Linked DNA regions of Ovis aries. Each later gene encodes a partner of the first gene's protein in a complex. Links are inferred from orthologs where the notes say so. Each region holds a gene or a part of one and is shown on either strand. Other genes may lie near its edges.

Evidence for each region. The genes of interacting proteins can lie anywhere in the genome.
Region 2: the proteins of TLN1 (region 1) and APBB1IP are in contact, whole or in part, in a crystal structure (PDB 4W8P), measured with the Mus musculus proteins. The link is inferred for Ovis aries from reciprocal best matches to the Homo sapiens genes TLN1 and APBB1IP. Residues at the interface, in NP_035732.2 of Mus musculus: Leu1492, Ala1495, Thr1496, Val1498, Ala1499, Thr1502, Ser1503, Cys1506, Asn1507, Arg1510, Val1526, Ala1529, Lys1530, Ala1533, Asn1534, Thr1536, Ala1537, Val1540, Ile1543, Lys1544, Asp1547; in NP_062329.2 of Mus musculus: Asn5, Ile8, Asp9, Met11, Phe12, Thr14, Leu15, Glu18, Met19, Leu21, Leu22, Ser25.
Region 3: the proteins of TLN1 (region 1) and PIP5K1C are in contact, whole or in part, in a crystal structure (PDB 1Y19), measured with the Mus musculus proteins. The link is inferred for Ovis aries from reciprocal best matches to the Homo sapiens genes TLN1 and PIP5K1C. Residues at the interface, in NP_035732.2 of Mus musculus: Pro209, Val210, Gln211, Leu212, Leu214; in NP_032870.2 of Mus musculus: Pro646, Leu647, His648, Tyr649, Ser650, Ala651.

The regions. Positions count from the first base shown.
Region 1 is NC_056055.1:52,827,725-52,833,444, forward strand, and holds part of TLN1 (talin-1), read left to right. Parts: coding exon 1-80; intron 81-283; coding exon 284-418; intron 419-582; coding exon 583-711; intron 712-866; coding exon 867-969; intron 970-1,119; coding exon 1,120-1,328; intron 1,329-1,651; coding exon 1,652-1,771; intron 1,772-1,976; coding exon 1,977-2,174; intron 2,175-2,360; coding exon 2,361-2,500; intron 2,501-2,685; coding exon 2,686-2,779; intron 2,780-2,900; coding exon 2,901-2,990; intron 2,991-3,107; coding exon 3,108-3,230; intron 3,231-4,451; coding exon 4,452-4,595; intron 4,596-5,066; coding exon 5,067-5,228; intron 5,229-5,470; coding exon 5,471-5,611; intron 5,612-5,700; coding exon 5,701-5,720. UniProt on the Homo sapiens protein: High molecular weight cytoskeletal protein concentrated at regions of cell-matrix and cell-cell contacts. Involved in connections of major cytoskeletal structures to the plasma membrane.
Region 2 is NC_056066.1:17,352,434-17,358,153, reverse strand, and holds part of APBB1IP (amyloid beta A4 precursor protein-binding family B member 1-interacting protein), read left to right. Parts: intron 1-439; coding exon 440-527; intron 528-2,664; coding exon 2,665-2,951; intron 2,952-4,577; coding exon 4,578-4,655; intron 4,656-5,720. UniProt on the Homo sapiens protein: Appears to function in the signal transduction from Ras activation to actin cytoskeletal remodeling. Suppresses insulin-induced promoter activities through AP1 and SRE. Mediates Rap1-induced adhesion.
Region 3 is NC_056058.1:18,080,666-18,086,385, reverse strand, and holds part of PIP5K1C (phosphatidylinositol 4-phosphate 5-kinase type-1 gamma), read right to left. Parts: intron 5,025-5,720; coding exon 4,993-5,024; intron 3,604-4,992; coding exon 3,511-3,603; intron 1,699-3,510; coding exon 1,568-1,698; intron 741-1,567; coding exon 623-740; intron 267-622; coding exon 114-266; intron 1-113. UniProt on the Homo sapiens protein: Catalyzes the phosphorylation of phosphatidylinositol 4-phosphate (PtdIns(4)P/PI4P) to form phosphatidylinositol 4,5-bisphosphate (PtdIns(4,5)P2/PIP2), a lipid second messenger that regulates several cellular processes such as signal transduction, vesicle trafficking, actin cytoskeleton dynamics, cell adhesion, and cell motility.

The DNA of each region.
Region 1 (5,720 bases):
GTGTCCGAGGGAGCCAAGCACAGCCTGACAGCCCCAGTGCTCAGCTAGCCCTCATCGCCGCCAGCCAAAGCTTCCTGCAGGCAAGGCCCCCTTGTTGACCACTCAGACCACACCCTTCCCACTCCTCTTAGGGCCTTTAGATCTCATCAGTTTAAGTCTCTGCCCTTAGTCTCTCTCCCAGTACTGAACCCTAGTGCTCACCACATCCTGACCCTCATCCATCCCTGTACCCAAGCCCAGAGGGCATATGGTGTGCTTCATCTGCCCACCTATTCCCCAACAGCCAGGTGGGAAGATGGTGGCGGCCGCAAAGGCCTCCGTGCCAACAATTCAGGACCAGGCATCGGCCATGCAGCTGAGTCAGTGTGCTAAAAACCTTGGCACCGCATTGGCTGAACTCCGTACTGCTGCCCAGAAGGTATGGAAGCTGGCTATATTTTTGGAAGATGAAGGGGGTATCCTGGGATAATGGAGAATCTGTTCAGGCTATCCTAAAATGGATAACTGTAACCTGAGCCACAAGTGAGACCCTGTGTACCTCCTACCCCTCGAACTCTCCCCCTTCACCCCGTGTGTTTGTAGGCTCAGGAAGCGTGTGGGCCTTTGGAAATGGATTCTGCTCTGAGTGTGGTGCAGAATCTGGAGAGAGACCTGCAGGAAGTGAAGGCAGCTGCTCGAGACGGCAAGCTGAAGCCCTTGCCTGGGGAGACAGTAAGTACTTGTGAGATCTGAAGGCTCCTTCTCACCTGTGTCCCAGAGCTGCCCTGAACCTTTGTTGAAACTGCCTGCTGACTCTCAGTAGCTTCTCAAGCTCTCTCTTCCCTGTTTCTCCTGTGGCTGAGTCCGAGTCTCCCTGTCATCCCTAGATGGAGAAATGTGCCCAGGACCTGGGCAACAGCACCAAAGCCGTGAGCTCCGCCATTGCCCAGCTGCTGGGGGAGGTTGCCCAGGGCAATGAGAATTACGCAGGTATGCGGTTAGGGCCAGGATGGGGCCTGTAGGGAGAAGGAGGGGGAATGGGAGCTGTAGGAGGCGTGGGGTGACACAGGAAGCCCCCAGCATCAGGGGTTGGCAGTGAAGCTACCTTTTTTCCTCCTTTCTCTCTCGTTGTCTCCCCAGGCATTGCAGCTCGGGATGTGGCAGGTGGGCTGCGGTCACTGGCCCAAGCTGCTAGGGGCGTAGCTGCCCTGACGTCAGATCCTGCAGTGCAAGCCATTGTGCTCGACACAGCCAGCGATGTCCTGGACAAGGCCAGCAGCCTCATCGAGGAGGCGAAGAAAGCAGCCGGCCATCCTGGGGACCCTGAGAGCCAGCAGCGGCTTGCCCAGGTTCGGTTTTGGGCCGAGGCTGCTTCCTCCCTCTCCCCCGACCCCCTCAGAAGGCTGCCTCGAGGGGGTGTCTCGTCAGCACTGTGGCTCCTCTCTGGATTCCACCCTTCCTTCTCAGTCTGAGTAGAAGAGTCTCAGCGAAAGCGGGGCCTGGGCCTAGCCAAATACCACATTTGGGGAAGTTTGATACCCTAACTCGATACTTTGGCTGTTCAGCTATAGCACTCCCTTTCTGCTTTCACTTTCAGAGGCTCCCATGGGTGGAGGCGGGGATCTTGCAGTTGTTTCTGCTTTGGCAACCCCTGTCTCCCTTCCCACCTCAGGTGGCTAAAGCTGTGACCCAGGCCCTGAACCGCTGCGTCAGCTGCCTACCTGGCCAGCGTGATGTGGACAATGCCCTGAGGGCAGTGGGAGATGCCAGCAAGCGACTCCTGAGTGACTCGGTAGGAGGACAGGGGTGTGAGGGGACATGGGGACAAAGGACTCCAAGTATCTACCTCTAGACCTATCCATCACCCTAACTCCCCAGATGCACCCCCTCCCCTCACTGCTCCCCCAGGCCTGTGCCCACCTCCCCAAGCTCCCTCACCAGGCTCCCTCTCATGTCATCTCCCATCCTTGCTCCTGACTCTCTCTCTGATCCTGCAGCTTCCCCCCAGCACTGGGACCTTTCAGGAGGCTCAGAGCCGGCTGAATGAAGCGGCTGCCGGGCTGAATCAGGCAGCCACAGAGCTGGTGCAGGCCTCTCGGGGAACCCCTCAGGACCTGGCCCGAGCCTCAGGTCGATTTGGACAGGACTTTAGCACCTTCCTGGAAGCTGGCGTGGAGATGGCAGGCCAGGCTCCGGTATGAAGGGAAGCTGGGTACGGTTCAAGGGTCAGGGGTGTCTCTGTGACCAAGGAGTCCTGACCTGCTCCTGGCCCCCTCCCCTCCCCAGTCTCTAGCAGTACTTGGGTGTCTGAGACAGAGAATCCCTTTTAGAGACAGACAAGAAAAGATTGAACAATGCATTGGCCTTCTTGCCCTCAACAGAGCCAGGAGGATCGTGCCCAGGTTGTGTCCAACTTGAAGGGCATCTCCATGTCTTCAAGCAAACTTCTTCTCGCTGCCAAGGCCCTGTCCACAGACCCTGCAGCCCCAACCCTCAAGAGTCAGCTGGCTGCAGCTGCCCGGTAAGTGGGAGCTGGGAAACCAAGTCCTTGCATGTTAAGCAGACTGGGGAGGGGACGTTTTGTAAGAAGTCTCTGGCTCAGGAATTGTTCCAGACAAAAAAGAAATGGCTAGAGACTTGCTACGTGAGCAGGATGTAGAAGTGATGACCTCTGCACTCATTCACTCTACTTCCTGTTCCTCCCAGGGCAGTGACCGACAGCATCAATCAGCTCATCAGCATGTGCACCCAGCAGGCGCCAGGCCAGAAGGAGTGTGACAATGCCCTGCGGGAATTGGAGGTGGGCCTTGGCAGGCTAAATGGGGTTGAAGTTGAGGAAAGGGTTCTTGGCTAAAGGGCAGTGATGGGGCGTCTTGGATCTCAATTCACCACCAACTGCACCCCCTTCCCCCACCCGACAGACTGTCCGGGAACTCCTTGAGAACCCAGTCCAACCCATCAATGACATGTCCTACTTCGGCTGTCTGGACAGCGTCATGGAAAACTCGAAGGTAGGTGTACCCAGTCCCCTCCCAAGGAGGGGAGAGGGTAGGAAAATGAGCCAGCCAGGGGCTGCCCTCTCCCCCTGAGGACAAGATCTGACTCTCCCTATACCCTCTGTTCCCCAGGTGCTGGGTGAGGCCATGACCGGCATCTCCCAAAATGCCAAGAACGGAAACCTGCCAGAGTTTGGGGAGGCTGTCGCCACAGCCTCCAAGGCCCTCTGCGGCTTCACCGAGGCAGCTGCACAGGTTATCCTCCTGGGATGGTCCCTGGAACTCCCCTGTTGTCTCTAGCCCACCTCCTCGGACTCTGACCCACATGCACAGAAGACAAAGTTATAAAGCCAGCTGTGTGGAAGATGGGGATCTTTCCCCACCTAAAGTAGAGGTGTTTGTCAGCAAGCATAGAACACCAACAATTCTGATCACTGTCACCGCTGAGCCCTGGTGCTTTCAGTTGTGATTACACTGAACAACCACTGAATCTGGCCCCAGCTTGCCTGGTATATTCTGCCTAGCATATGCAAATTATTTTCATATAATTAGTACTTTTTTTTTTTTTTTTTTTTTTTTTTCACTGAGCCACACGGCAAGCTGGCTCTTAGTTTCGTGATCAGGGATCAAACTCATGCACCCTGAGTTTGGAAGTGCTGTCTCAACCACTGGACCCCCAGGGAAGTCCACACATAATTATTACACCAAATTCCCAGTTACTTGAGTCACCACCTAACTTGCCATTTTCTGCATTATGAAGTATAAAACGATCCATCGGCTCAGAGTATTTTGCTTTTATTTATGAATCCTTAAAACAAACTGACTTGAGAGCTCATCCTGTCAGCCTGTTTCCTTCAATCTCCCTGCTTCCCTGTGCCCTGTTCTATTGGGTGTCCTGCTGTATATGGTTTGACGTATTTCTGGAAAAGCATGAGGAAGAAAATGCAAAGCTATCATGTGTTGGGTGAAGTAAGAATCAAACCTTACGATGATCTTCCAAGCAGAAACAGTTTTTGGCAACCATCCCTTCCCTCTTTCTAAATCTCTGAAGCTTGGAGGCGTTATGTGTTAATTAGCCTAACACCACCCACAGTTTTATTAGCCCCTAAAAGAGGCTGTGTGTGTGTGTGTCTTTCAAATTTTTTTTTTTACCAGCACTGAGAATAAGCACTACTTTTTACCTTAAGATCCAACATACAAACACATAAACAGGTGAACTGAATTTTGATAAAAAGCTTACTGTGCTTCTTTTTTTTTTTTTGTCATTTTTTAATCTGAGATGTTTGAACACATTTAACAAAACAGGAGAGGTTTTTCCCTCTTTTATACTATAATTGCAGTTTGCTAGTGTATCTCCACTCACGTAGAACCCTGGCCACTGAACTTACCCCTGCTCCCCTTTGTCCCCACTGTGGCTATTCCAGTCCTACCTCAGGAATATTCCTTATTCCTCACCCCACTCTTATCTCTCTACAGGCTGCATACCTGGTTGGCGTGTCTGACCCCAACAGCCAAGCTGGACAACAAGGGCTGGTGGAGCCCACACAGTTTGCCCGAGCAAACCAGGCAATTCAGATGGCCTGTCAGAGTTTGGGGGAGCCTGGCTGCACCCAGGCCCAGGTAACTCGGGGGTGCAGTCACTGTGAGCAAGCCTGGGAAAGGCTGCTGAGCCAGGACAGGCCGCCCCCGTGGTGGGAGAAGGTGCAGGACGTGCAGCGCTGGGTGGCGCCCCAGTGCTGGCCTCCTGCCCATAGCTTCTCTGGGCCACTGTCTTCTCTGGCTGTGTTTCTCATCATTCCTTCCGCTACTGCCTTTACTTCCATGACTTCTCTATGGAGGTTTGAGCTCTGTCTCCTCCTGAGCCTGTGAGCGATTTCTCCATTAGTGTGCCGGCTTTTCATTTTCCTTTCTCCTACACCCTGCGCATCTTTGGGTATCTGTCTCCCAGATCTTGACTTTCAGGTGACTCTGTTTTTCCTAATGAGGCTTCCAAAGGATTGCTGTCCATCCCCCAAGCTGAAGGGGCTGCTCCCCGGTGTAGACACGGCCCTCCTGCCCTCACATGGCTCTTCCACATCTCTGCCTCCTCAGGTGCTCTCTGCAGCCACCATTGTGGCCAAACACACGTCTGCACTGTGTAACAGCTGCCGCCTAGCTTCTGCCCGAACCAGCAATCCCACCGCCAAGCGCCAGTTTGTACAATCAGCCAAGGAGGTGGCCAACAGCACGGCCAATCTTGTCAAGACCATCAAGGTTCCCAGTGTTTGAATTCTCAGCCTCTCCCTGACCTGTCCAGTCTTCTCTCCCCCGACCCCTACACCCCGTCATTCCCTGAGGCCTTTACCCAGTCCCACCTGCCTAAGCCCAAGGTCTTTCCTGTCTGCACTGGTCACCACCAGCCCTGCTTCGTGCCCTTTGAGCTCCGGAGGGAGACCTGGGCTTCACTGCCTTTGTCTACAGTCCATCCTGAGCTCCTCCTGTCACTCCCACTTCAGGCGCTGGATGGGGCCTTCACAGAGGAGAACCGTGCCCAGTGCCGAGCAGCAACAGCTCCTTTGCTGGAGGCTGTGGACAATCTGAGCGCCTTTGCATCCAACCCTGAGTTCTCCAGTGTTCCTGCCCAAATCAGCCCTGAGGTGAGGCAGGGTGAAGGCATGAACTGCTGGCCACCTCATCTTGTTTCCAGGAGTCTTGAGACTCACCCCTCGGCCTCCCCTCTCCCCAGGGCCGGGCTGCCATGGAGCC
Region 2 (5,720 bases), on another chromosome or scaffold:
TTAAATAAGAGCAACAGCATTAACATTTTACTGTATAATAAAAGATTGCATCCTGAACAGTTCTTTTCTTCAAGTGACTAAATATTCCTTTCTTTGATGTCATAACTTAAGTCTTAATGAATTATATATACAGCGTGTGTGTTACAGGTACACCATTACCAGAAATTTTTCCTGTTGTTTATAAAAACAAACAACTTCATTCTCATCAGTCTCAGTTGATATGTTTTGTTTCAAAGTGTACTTTCTAGAATAATTTTTAACTTGTCATTTTTTGTAGGGGAAAAAAATCACCTAAAGTGTGCAAATAATACAGTTTTTAGAGAACACGTTTAGAGGGAACATGGGTAAACAGTAGATGATTCTTTACTTAATGAATAATTTGCCCTGCAAAAATGTAAGTATCCCGAATAACTTTGGGGCTGGGGCTCTGTTTTCACAGAGTTTAGGAGTCGACATTCTTCCTCCTCCAGATCCTAAACCGCCCAGAGTTGAATTTAACTACAGTGTGGGGTTTAAGGATTTAAATGGTAAGCATCGTTTCTTTTCTTGAGTAATTTGAAATCATAGCAATGACTAAAATCTGTCAGAGTGTAATTCGTAGCTCTAGAAAACTAGGAATACACTTCCTTAGTTCTACATACATTCTTTCTGAGGTTTTAAGAATTGATTTCACTTAATTTTATGAAGAAGTTATGTGCAAAAGAACACTGGCTTAGGAGGAAATAAACCCTTTTTACATAGTTAGGAGATCCAAACTTCTCCAAGCGCTGTACATGGAACCATTGTTGTTGTTCAGTGACTAAGTCATGTCCAACCCAGCGACCCCATGGACTGCAGCATGCCAGGCTCCTCAGTTTTCACTGTCACCTGGAGTTTGCTCAAATTCATGTCCATCGGGTTGGTGTCCCTGAGATCTAACCATTTCATCCTCTGCCGCCCCCCTTTCCTTTTGCCTTCAATCTTTTCCAGCATCAGAGTCTTTTCCAGTGAGTCAGCTCTTTGCATCAAGTGGCCGAGGTTATCAGAGCTTCAGCAACAGTCCTTCCAATGAATATTCAGGGTTGAACCATTAGCATTAATGTAATAATATGCTGTATGGTGTTTGTGCTAATGATGTTGGGCAATAAATGATTTCCCCATGCCTTCTGATCCTTTGTTCCTGAGAAGGCTGTATTTCCCCCATCCCCATTTCCTCAATCTCGTTCACGTTGCACACAGCAGCTAGATTTCTCTTCCTCATCATCACTTCCACCCTGCTCGCCCTTTGTTCATCACACTCACCCTCCAGTGACTGCCTGATCAGCCACGTGCCGTCCCAACTCAATTCACGGCCGTGGCTCCCTGGATGCACGTGATCTCACAGTAATCTCACACGTGGAAGAAATTCCAGCGAAACCATCCTCCCTCCCCCTCACTCTGAAAATCTGGGTCTGCCGTTTCCTTTAAGAGTTAACTCCCAGGACTTCCCTGTGGTGGAGTGGTTGAGACTCCTTCGTGCTCCCAAGGCAGTAGGACCAGGTTTGATCCCTGGTCAGGGAACTAAGATCCCACAAACCATGTGGTGCAGTCAAAAAAAAAAAAAAAACACACAAAACAATACTTAACTGCTAGTATTAATGTATAGAAAGTCTTGAAAACAACAAGAGAAAATTCTTTAAAAAAAAAAAAAAGAGAATTAACTTCCAACTCACTGTCTTATGAAGTCTTTACCAGTTAATCCCAATTTTTCAAAAACATTTTTTTCACTCTTAATGCCCTTTGTGCTTTGTTTCCTGCTGTTGCTCTTTTGAGATGTGAGAGTTGCTCTTTTGAGATGTAAGAGTTCCCATGATTGGATGGTGTGCCCACAGAAACTCTATCCTCACCCCAAATCTCAAGGCACATGAAGTAAATCCCAGTTGGTGGAGACCGACTCTCTTCCAAGTATATTTGTTAGTGTTGCTCTGTTTGCCGCTGTCCAAAGACCTGGGAGAACTTTCCATCCATGTCCAGCCTCTCCCATCCCCTACTTTGTAAAACTCTTAAGATTTTGCACCAGAATGCACAAGAATTTCCTACATAGGCATCCAGTCAGCACTTGGATTTCACTTTATAAGTGGCCTGTGAGGATGCTCAATGTAGGGAAGGCATTTGCCTCCCTTGTTTTTTGTTTTTTGTTTTTTGTTTTTTTAGGGGGGAAGGAAAGGATATTTTTAGCTTTATTGAAGCTAACTTGATGAATAAAACTGTATTATATGTAAAAGTGTACAATGTGCAGATTTGGTGTGCATCTACATTGTGAAAAGATTGGCCCCATCAAGATAGTTAACCTATCTATCTCCTCGCATATTTACTTCTTATTTTAGTGAGAATGTTTAAGTTCTACTCTTTCAGCAGATTTCAATTATACCATACAGCAAGTTAGCAACTAGAGTCATTGTGGTATACTTAGATCCTCAGACCTTATTTGCCTTATAAAAGTTCATATTCTTTCACTAACCTCATCTTATTTCCCCGACTCCAATCCCTGGCAACCTGTACTCAAACTTACTCTTTTTTAAAAAATTAATATATTTTTTGAAGGATAATTGCTTTACAGAAAAACTGACACTTTAAAATGACTTTCATTTAGTTTTTCCAGGTACACATCATTATCTTGTTCATGAATGTGATTTTCCCTATCAGAGTCCTTAAATGCACTGGAAGACCAAGATTTAGATGCTCTCATGGCAGATCTGGTAGCAGACATAAGTGAAGCTGAGCAGAGGACAATCCAGGCCCAGAAAGAGACCCCTCAAAAGCAACCTCAGTCAGCATCCCTGTGTGTGCCAAGCTTCAGTGGTACAACCTCTCTTGGTTATGGAGCAAATGTTGCTGCAACGAGTCAGTATGATGATGACTTACCACCTCCACCAGCTGATCCCGTGTTAGACCTTCCGCTGCCACCACCCCCTCCAGGACCCATCTCTCAGGTAAGTCCATGGGGTCAGGACTCTTGACCTCTGCCACCCATGGTCTCTGACTTTCTTCAAAGTGACGGTTCCATTCATAAATGTGTATGCCCGGGGCTCTAAGATTCAAACAAACAAGGATCCCAGATGTGTTCATTGCAAAGTCAGATGTAAAATGCCTGTGAAAGGACACGGTGGTGAGTATAAGGAACTTATTATGGCCATATTCAGGAATTATTATAGTTTGGCTAAATCTACATTTGTATATGGCTTTTCCTGATAATACTCAACCTTTCGGGGGTCATATTTGATTAACTTGGTGTGTGCTTTGGAAATGATTTACACATTGCTGTGTCCCTGATCCTTGCCCAGTACCTAAAGAATAGAAGGCATTCCTTACCTATTTCTAAATTGAACTAAATGGAATTTTGCTGAATTTGACAGCCTTGTTCATTGGCAAAGATATCACTTGTAAAGTCAAAGTTGGAAGGGGTGTTATGGGCAAGCAGGTGGTAAGTGTTTGATATTAATAGATTTCTGAGAAGTTCATATTGTCAATATTTGGGATGTCAGTTTATGTCCCTCATCAATGCAAAAAGGGTGCTTTAAGGATTTTGCTTAGGGTAAGCCACTTTTAAAATATTTTAGAAAAATTAAAAAAATAATAAAATATTTTAGAGAAATAACCTAGCTCTATTTCCTGTGGCTCTCACATTTATTGTACTGTATGCTGATCAGTACTTATAAATACAACCCTAGGAACCCTGAAAATCCCTACAATATCTTTTGGATGAATAAATAGGAAATATAAACAAATATCAAATACTACTCATTGCTGTATTATGTGATTCTTGTATAAAAATTATTTGAAAATTGGTGATCCATTTAGAACAGAGGCTCTTTTTTCCTCCAGTTTATTGAGATATAATTGATGTATAATATTATAGAAGTTTCAAAGGGCCTGGTTGAGTCCAAAAAACTTTTCAGAGAGAATTTTGTACATTTATATTATTTACAGCAAGATGCAGTAACATGGGGCTTCCCCAGTGGCTCAGTAGTAAAGAGTCTGCCTGCAAGTCAGGAGCCGCGGGAGACATGGGTTCCATCTCTGGGTTGGGAAGATGCCCTGGAGGAGGGCATGGCAACCCACTCCAGTACTCTTGCTTGGAGAATCCCATGGACAACAGAGCCTGGTGGACTACAGTCCATAGGGTCGCAAAGAGTTGGGCACGGCTGAAGAGACTTAGCACGCACATATGCAGTAACATAAGACTTCCCTGGTGGCTCAGTGGTAAAGAATCCAGCTGCCAATGCAGGAGATGCAGGTTCGATCCCTGGGCTGGGAATATTCCCTGAAGGACATGGCAAGCCACTCCAGTATTCTTGCCTGGGAAATCCCACAGACAGAGGAGCCTGGCGGGCTACAGTCCTTGGGATCACAAAGAGTCAGACACGACTTAGCAGCTGAGCACAAGCACGACTATACAAGTTTAAGTTACACAACATGGTGAGTCTTAACCACTGGACAGCCAGGCAGGTACCAGTACAGCCTTTTATCAACAGAAGGTGACTGCGACGCTAGCAGTGTTGGGAATACTCACTCGCTTGTATGATTAATGGACTGTGTTCGTGTCTTACGTTTTACAGGAAGAAGAAGAAGCTCAAGCCAAGGCTGATAAAATAAAACTGGCATTGGAAAAACTGAAGGAGGCCAAGGTCAAGAAGGTAAACTATGAATCACTTTTACATGGGGCAGTCAAATTAACAACTTCTTCATACGCTTAAGGGTAAAAAAGTTTTACATTCAAGTGGTACTTTCCATTGAGTTGTATTTTTTTTAACTGAAGGACAAAGATAAATTATTCTTTCCATGACATCAGTTGTTCATTTGTGATTGATAAATAGGGAACCTATGTTAGTGTCAATGTAGAAGTTTCTACCCCCAGGGCTCCCTCCCCTGAGGATGCCCTCTGGGTTCTGCTCACTCTTGGGTAATAGCAGGTGGCATCCTCTGCTGGGCCCATCTCAATTTGGTTAGAGTTCAGCTTCCACTGGCATCACCTCACTTCCACCGTTGCTTTTGTGCATGTTGTATACCCCCTGGGGCAGCCCCTAGATGCCCTGGGTGTCCGAGTTCTCCCCTGAAGTTCCAAATGTTCTTCTGGCCGGTGCTGTGTGTTCAAAGTGGCGTAGGTTTCGAGTCACCTGCCCAACCCTGTGGTCCCAATAAGCGTGTAATTTATTGTGCATTTTTCCGTAGGTTTTTCCAGAGATGCATTTATTGTGTTGTATCAGAAACACACATATTTAACCTCAGTAAAAGCATCTGTCTAATAAAGTGTTAGTAATAGTTAATTTGGTAAATTAAGAGAAAGATAAAGTCTCACCTTGACCCCTGAGGCATATGCTATGACTGAGACTCATTAAGAGCTTTTTAATTACAGTTGGGTGAATTATTCCTTTCCTAGAGGGCGTTCGATTTTATGTTCCTGTAGCCTCTCTCATGGTTCTTTGAATGAAGGAGTTCAACACATGCTGATTGATTTTTAATAAATATTCCTTCGTTACCTCAGGATACAGACAGTCACGGTTCATCTGTGAGCACGTTGCCAGATCAGCCTGGTTCCTTTCATTTCAAGCACGCATGCGCCCTCTTACTATTTCCCTTCCTGTTCTCTATGTGTAATTGCATTCTGTGGTCGGTTAGTGAGCTGATGCCTCTGAGGGGGCTGTTTCCTTCCCCGCCTCGCACTCCGTGAATCCCTGGTTAAATCCAGCTCTCCTTCTGCT
Region 3 (5,720 bases), on another chromosome or scaffold:
GATAGTTCCTGGAGGGGGTGGCTCCCAGGAGGGGTAGTTCCCAAGGTGGGGATGCCCAGAGCTCCTCAGCAGAGGGAGAAAGGCCTAAGTCCAGGGGCGGCCGGGCTCCCCACCATGTAGTAGCCGGGCAGCAGCTTCTGCAGGAACTCGGCCTCCTTGTGCATCACCGTCTTGATGATGAACTCGTCGTCGCTGGTGACGTAGAACAGGGAGCCACTGGCACCGGGGTTAGACAGCTCAATGAGCGGCTCGTTGCACAGCGAGTACTGAAAAGGGGATGGTGGATGGATGGGGGTGGTCACCGACACCGCACAGGCCCAGGGGCTGGTGGGTGATCCCAGAAGTGGTCTCGGTCGGCTCCATGGGACAGTCACAGAGGAGACCGTAGTATCTGGAAGGAATGGACGTCCTGGCCAGCAAGGACAGAGCCTGGCTGATGAAGCCAGGGGTTTGGAAGGGACCCAATGCAGTTGAGTCCACTTGAGGCCACAGCCCAGCCCCAGATGACAACCTGAGCAAGGAGCCCAGCAACGCTGCAGCCATGTCCCTGCCCCATGGAGGCCGAGGACGACAAGCAGGTGGTGATCTAAGCCCCGAGCCAGGCTGCTGAGGACACACTCACCAAGTAGTCATCTGGCCGAATCCCAAAGAGCTCCCGGAAGTAGCGGAAGGCAACAGGCGCATAGGTCTTGAACCTGAAGTCCTGGAAGTGATGGGCGGGAGTGAGGTTGCTGCCTTCACTGCAGAGGAAGCAGGGGGGAGACTGTGAGGGACCCAGGCCCATGTACACTCCCTTCCCCCACCAACAGTCTGCCTACCCGCCCAGGCCCAGCCCCAAGGCACCCGAATAGCCAACCCAAAAAGTGACATGGGGCTCCCATGCTGGACACGGGACCAAGGGCTGTGGCCAGTCTCAGATTGTCCTCCAATGACCACCTTCCCCTTCCTTCATTAGCCCACAGTGTGGGGTGCACACATGGCCACCCAGAATAAGACCACTGCCAGCCTCTGCCACAGCCAGGCATGATCAGGGTGCTGTGCTTGCACAATCCCATGAGAGGAGAATGACTTGGTCTTTTCCTAGTCATGCCCTTAAAGGGCAGGGGCATGTGCTCTCCTTCTCTTTCCTGTGGTTGGAATGCAGCTGTGATGGCAGGAACCTGGGCGGCTCTTGCAGCCACTGGTTTGTAAAGCAGCATAGAAGATGGTGGAGAAACCAGAAGGAATCTGGGCCCAGTAACATCATGGAGCCACCTGACCAATCTTCCAATCTTGGACTGTGTGTGTGTGTGTGTGTGTGTCTAGGTATACACGCGCACACACATATTAGAAAGAGAGAAACAACAAACTTTTGTCTTCCTCTCTTTCTAAGAGCTGCCGTTCTATTGCATTTCTCTGATTCAGCAGCAAACATCCCGACTAACACAGGGCTGGACCTCAAAGGCAAGGGGAGCCCAGGAAGGGCCGGAGCCATTTCCAGCAGAGAAAAAGGCTGAAAGAATAGCAGGGGGGCGGTGTGTGCATGCAGGGAGAGTACAGAGGGTTTGGAGCGGCCCGGGCAGGGTACCTGGGAAAGAAGATGCTCTCCACCACATAGAAGTCCTGCATGAGCACGTCACGCTCTGGCTTGGAGCTCAGGTTGCCCACGGTGTAGCCGATGCCCAGCTGGATGGCCCCCTTCAGGGTAGAGGACGTGGTCTGCGGGAAACCCAGCTGCATCAAAACCCCTGGGGCCCATCCCTTGGCTGCCAGGGTCCGAGACAGGACAGGAAGCCCCCTTAGGATGAAGGGGGCAGCATCCGGCCTGTGGCTCAGCCCTTGACACCCATTACCTCCAAGGGGTCCCCAGGCAGCACCTGCCGAGCCCGTCACAGACGTGCTGGCCTCAGGCCCACCACTCAGCCTGCATAACCACATGGCCAGGAAGTGGCCTGGCTGAGGCTCCAACACCACCATGTGGCCCCGTGGCCTGTTTTCTATCCACATTCTAGAAGGTTCCTATAGCTCAGAACTGCCCCGACATGGGGGAGGGTCTACCACTGCCAGGGTTCTCTTTTGGGAAGCAGGAGTACAGCATCCAGCAATGCCCAGGCTTCCCTTCTGAGACCCGGGCTCCTTCTGTCTACTCTCAAAGGGATCTGCCTCTCTGCATCCCAGTCCTCCACCCTGGCACTGGCCTTCCTGGGGCCCCTCATGCCGCCCTCCCTAGAGAAGAACCAGCTGCCTGTCCATCTGTCAGCACTGCCATTCACGTCACCGTCACCATGAGCCTTAAGCAACACGCCCACCATCGAGGAAAGACGCCTTGGTCCTCAAGTTACCGACTCGGGTCCCCAGCACCCCCGCTGCAGCGTCAAGCCCTTCCCAAGTGCCCACCCCTCCTCCCGAAGCCCCACCTCCATCCATTCCCTCAAGATGACATCGACTGAACACAGTCTTCCAGAGGAGATACACAGATGGCCAGTGAGCACAGAAGGTGCTGGGTACCACCAGACGCAGGGAAGGTGCAAATCTAGACAGTGAGACCTGCTGCCCATGCATCGGGAGGGACAGATCAGACAGACCAGCACCACACAGGACGGGGAGTGGAGTCCCCATGCTCAGCTGGCAAGAATGGAGAATGGGATGGCCACGGTGGACTGTGTGGCAGCTCCTCCAAGGGCTACCTGTGACCCCCCGGGGGGCCCAGCGGTTCCACTACTAGGACTGCGGCCCAAGGAGGGCAGTGCAGTCCCCAAAATCATCTGGACACAAGCCCTCACAACAGCACTGCTCACAACAGCCAGAAAAGGTCCATCAGTGGAGGGTGGATACACAGACCATGGTCCCCCTGCCCATGAGAGCATCGCTCGGCTACAAAAAGGGAGAAGCCCTGATACTCGCTACCACATGGATGACCCCCGATTCTCCCTGACACTCGCTACCACGTGGATGGCCCCGAGAACACGATGCTCAGTGAGAGAAGCAGACACAGAAGGACACACAGAATGTGACCCCACTGACGGCAAATGTCCAGAACAGGCTGATCCACAGACACAGACAGTGGGTTCCTGGCTGTCAGGGGATGGGGGAGGCAAATGGGGACAGGGCTTTTGAGGTGAGAGAAATGCTTTAAAATTGACTCTGGCGATGGTTGCACAGCTCTGAATACTCTAGAAACCGTCTAATTGAACACTTCAGAAGGGTGACTCACTCACTGCACACACTCGCTCTCAGTGAGGTGGGTGTTTTTAGGAGGTGTGACCAGGCGGAGAGGACCAGCAGCAGCGGGACCAGCTCACCACGCACAGCCCTGGCCCAACCTCACCTCCGCCCCACTCCCAAGGGACGGGAGGAAGCTGCAATTTCCTCTCACCCAAGGTCACAGTCAAGGCCACAGTGACTTGAGGAGCCAGGCAGGTGGTGCAGCCTCCAGCCACAAACAGCCCACACCTGACCTTCCGTGGGCCCCGTGCACACGTGTGGGGGCCCCCTTGTCCCACCCCCGTTGACTGAGGGAAGAGCAGGAACCTTCTTGTAGGTGGTTTCGCCAGATGCATCCACGCCTCGATGACCCAGCTTCTTCCCATGGCCAGGGCCGGGCTGTCCAGTCATCAGTGGGACCTGGGGAAGAGGAAGGAAGAAGTTCAGAATTGGCGAGAAACCAGAATGCTCTGGAAATCCCAGCTGGAGTCTGGGGCGGGGGCTGGGTAGGCTGCGGGCACGGGGGCTCCTTTCTGGGGGCCGACATCCCACATCTAGGGGCCACACCCAGACCAGGACCTCCAGAAAAGAAAGTCAGCAGCCTGGGCCCTCTGCAGGGAGAAAAGCCCCAACTCCAGGGTCACCCCCACCCCAGGCTCACCCCCACCCCCAGCACTGCTGACTTGGGGCTAGTCACTCTCTAGGGGGGCACCCTGGGTGCTGTGGGGTGCATAGCAACATCACTGTCCCACCTCTTCTCTGCCAGGAGGCCCCCAGTTGTGACAACCACGAATGTTCCCAGACGTGGCTGGGTGAAACCCTTTGGACTGAAATGAGAGTATCTCCTCCCAGATGAGGGAGAGGTCCCGCTGGTCTGGGAGCAGGCTGGTTCCTGCCAGCTCCACAGCATATGAGTGACATCCTGGCAAAGTTGTGCGGAAGCCACTGGCCCTCCTGTGTGACATCGCAGGGGAAAGATGGTGCACAGGGCCATGGGGCCTGAAGGAGACACACCAGCTCAAGAGCTGGGCCGAGGCCGCCCCAAAGATGGTGCATACTTGCCACCATTCACAGGGCTCAGACCAGCCTGTTCTGCACGCTGGCCACCAGGGGGCGGGCTTCCCTCAGGCAACGTTAGTTGCCAGCCCTGCTCTGCACCCCTCGCTGGCTCCCCACTGCCTGTCAGCTGGACACCCACCAGGGCCCCAGCAGATGGGCAAAGCCGTCACAGGAAGGACCCTGGGTGCCCAGCAGCGTCCTGGGAGAGGAGCCTGGCTGGGAGGGAACATGGCTGTCAGGGTGGCTCCCGCTATACCTGGGGTCCTCTAACCTGCTGTCCATGGCTCCTCAGACAACAGGGCTCAGACGCCCCTCGCAGGTGGCTTCCAGGAGTGACCGGAAACCAACAAACTAGAGACAGGGTGCCAAGGGCTCACGCAAGTGGCCACCACCAGGAAAAGTTGCCTGGGGACAGGACCAGTGGGACCCTCGGTGGGCAGGTATGGGACAGCAGGGGGTGGGGGGGAAGGCCGGCTTGAAGGTACTGCTGACAGGGACAGGCAGGGGGCCATCCTCTCCAGGCCCCTCGGGGCTCTCCCCACCCACCCCATCCCTCCCAGAAACTCAAGATGCTGGTGGGACAGACCGTTTCCACTGTCTGACGACATGTGCCTATTTGCTATGCCAGCATCTGAGGCCCAGGGAAGTGCAGTGAGACGCCTAAGGCCACGGAGCAGGATGCGGGCAGGGCAGGGTACTGCCCCGTCCACTTTCGGGAGGCAGGGAGGGTGGGCCCCCGAGGACACTCACCTCTACTGGGGTTGTCTTTTTCTGGGCCGAACCTGAGGAAGAGAAGGGACGCTTTAGTCTGGACCCTTGGCCTCTGCCATCAGCATCGCCCCCCACACACACCCTGTGCCCCTGGGGAGGTGGTAGGGACCCCGCGTGGTAAATAGGCCTGGAGACGCAATGTGGGGGTGGACGCGGAGCGACCACGCTGACGCAGCTCTGCAGGCAGGGGTAGTGGGAGGGCGGGTGGAGACAAGGCACAGCCCATCGCTGGGGAGCCCAAGCACGGAAGGCGGCAGTGATCAGCGGCTGCGGCCCAGGCTAGAGTGACAGCGCTAGCCCCCGAGGCCGCCAGGCGATGGAGAGCCAGCCAGCCAGCCAAGGACACCCCCGGTCCCCGTCCCCACGGCCAGCGATGTTCACCTCTCGGGACCACGACCACCCCCTCCAGCCCAGCTCCTCGGGGCCCTCTGGCCAAGCCCAGGCCCTGCTGAGCCGGCATCCTCACCCAGAAAGCTGGCTTCTGTGAGGGTTATCTGTTCAGTGCGAGTGCTCAGCACATATCTGCCCCAACCCCCAGGGTGTTCATATTCTGGTCCCAGAATGGGCTGTGCTGGTGGGGTTAAAACCCGAGATGGGGATGATCCTGGATTCCCAGGGGCCCAGTGCCATCGCAGGGTCGTCATAAGAGGGAGGGGGAAGGTCAGAGGCAGAGAGACAGGAGATGCTGCTCTGCTGGCTGTGAGGAT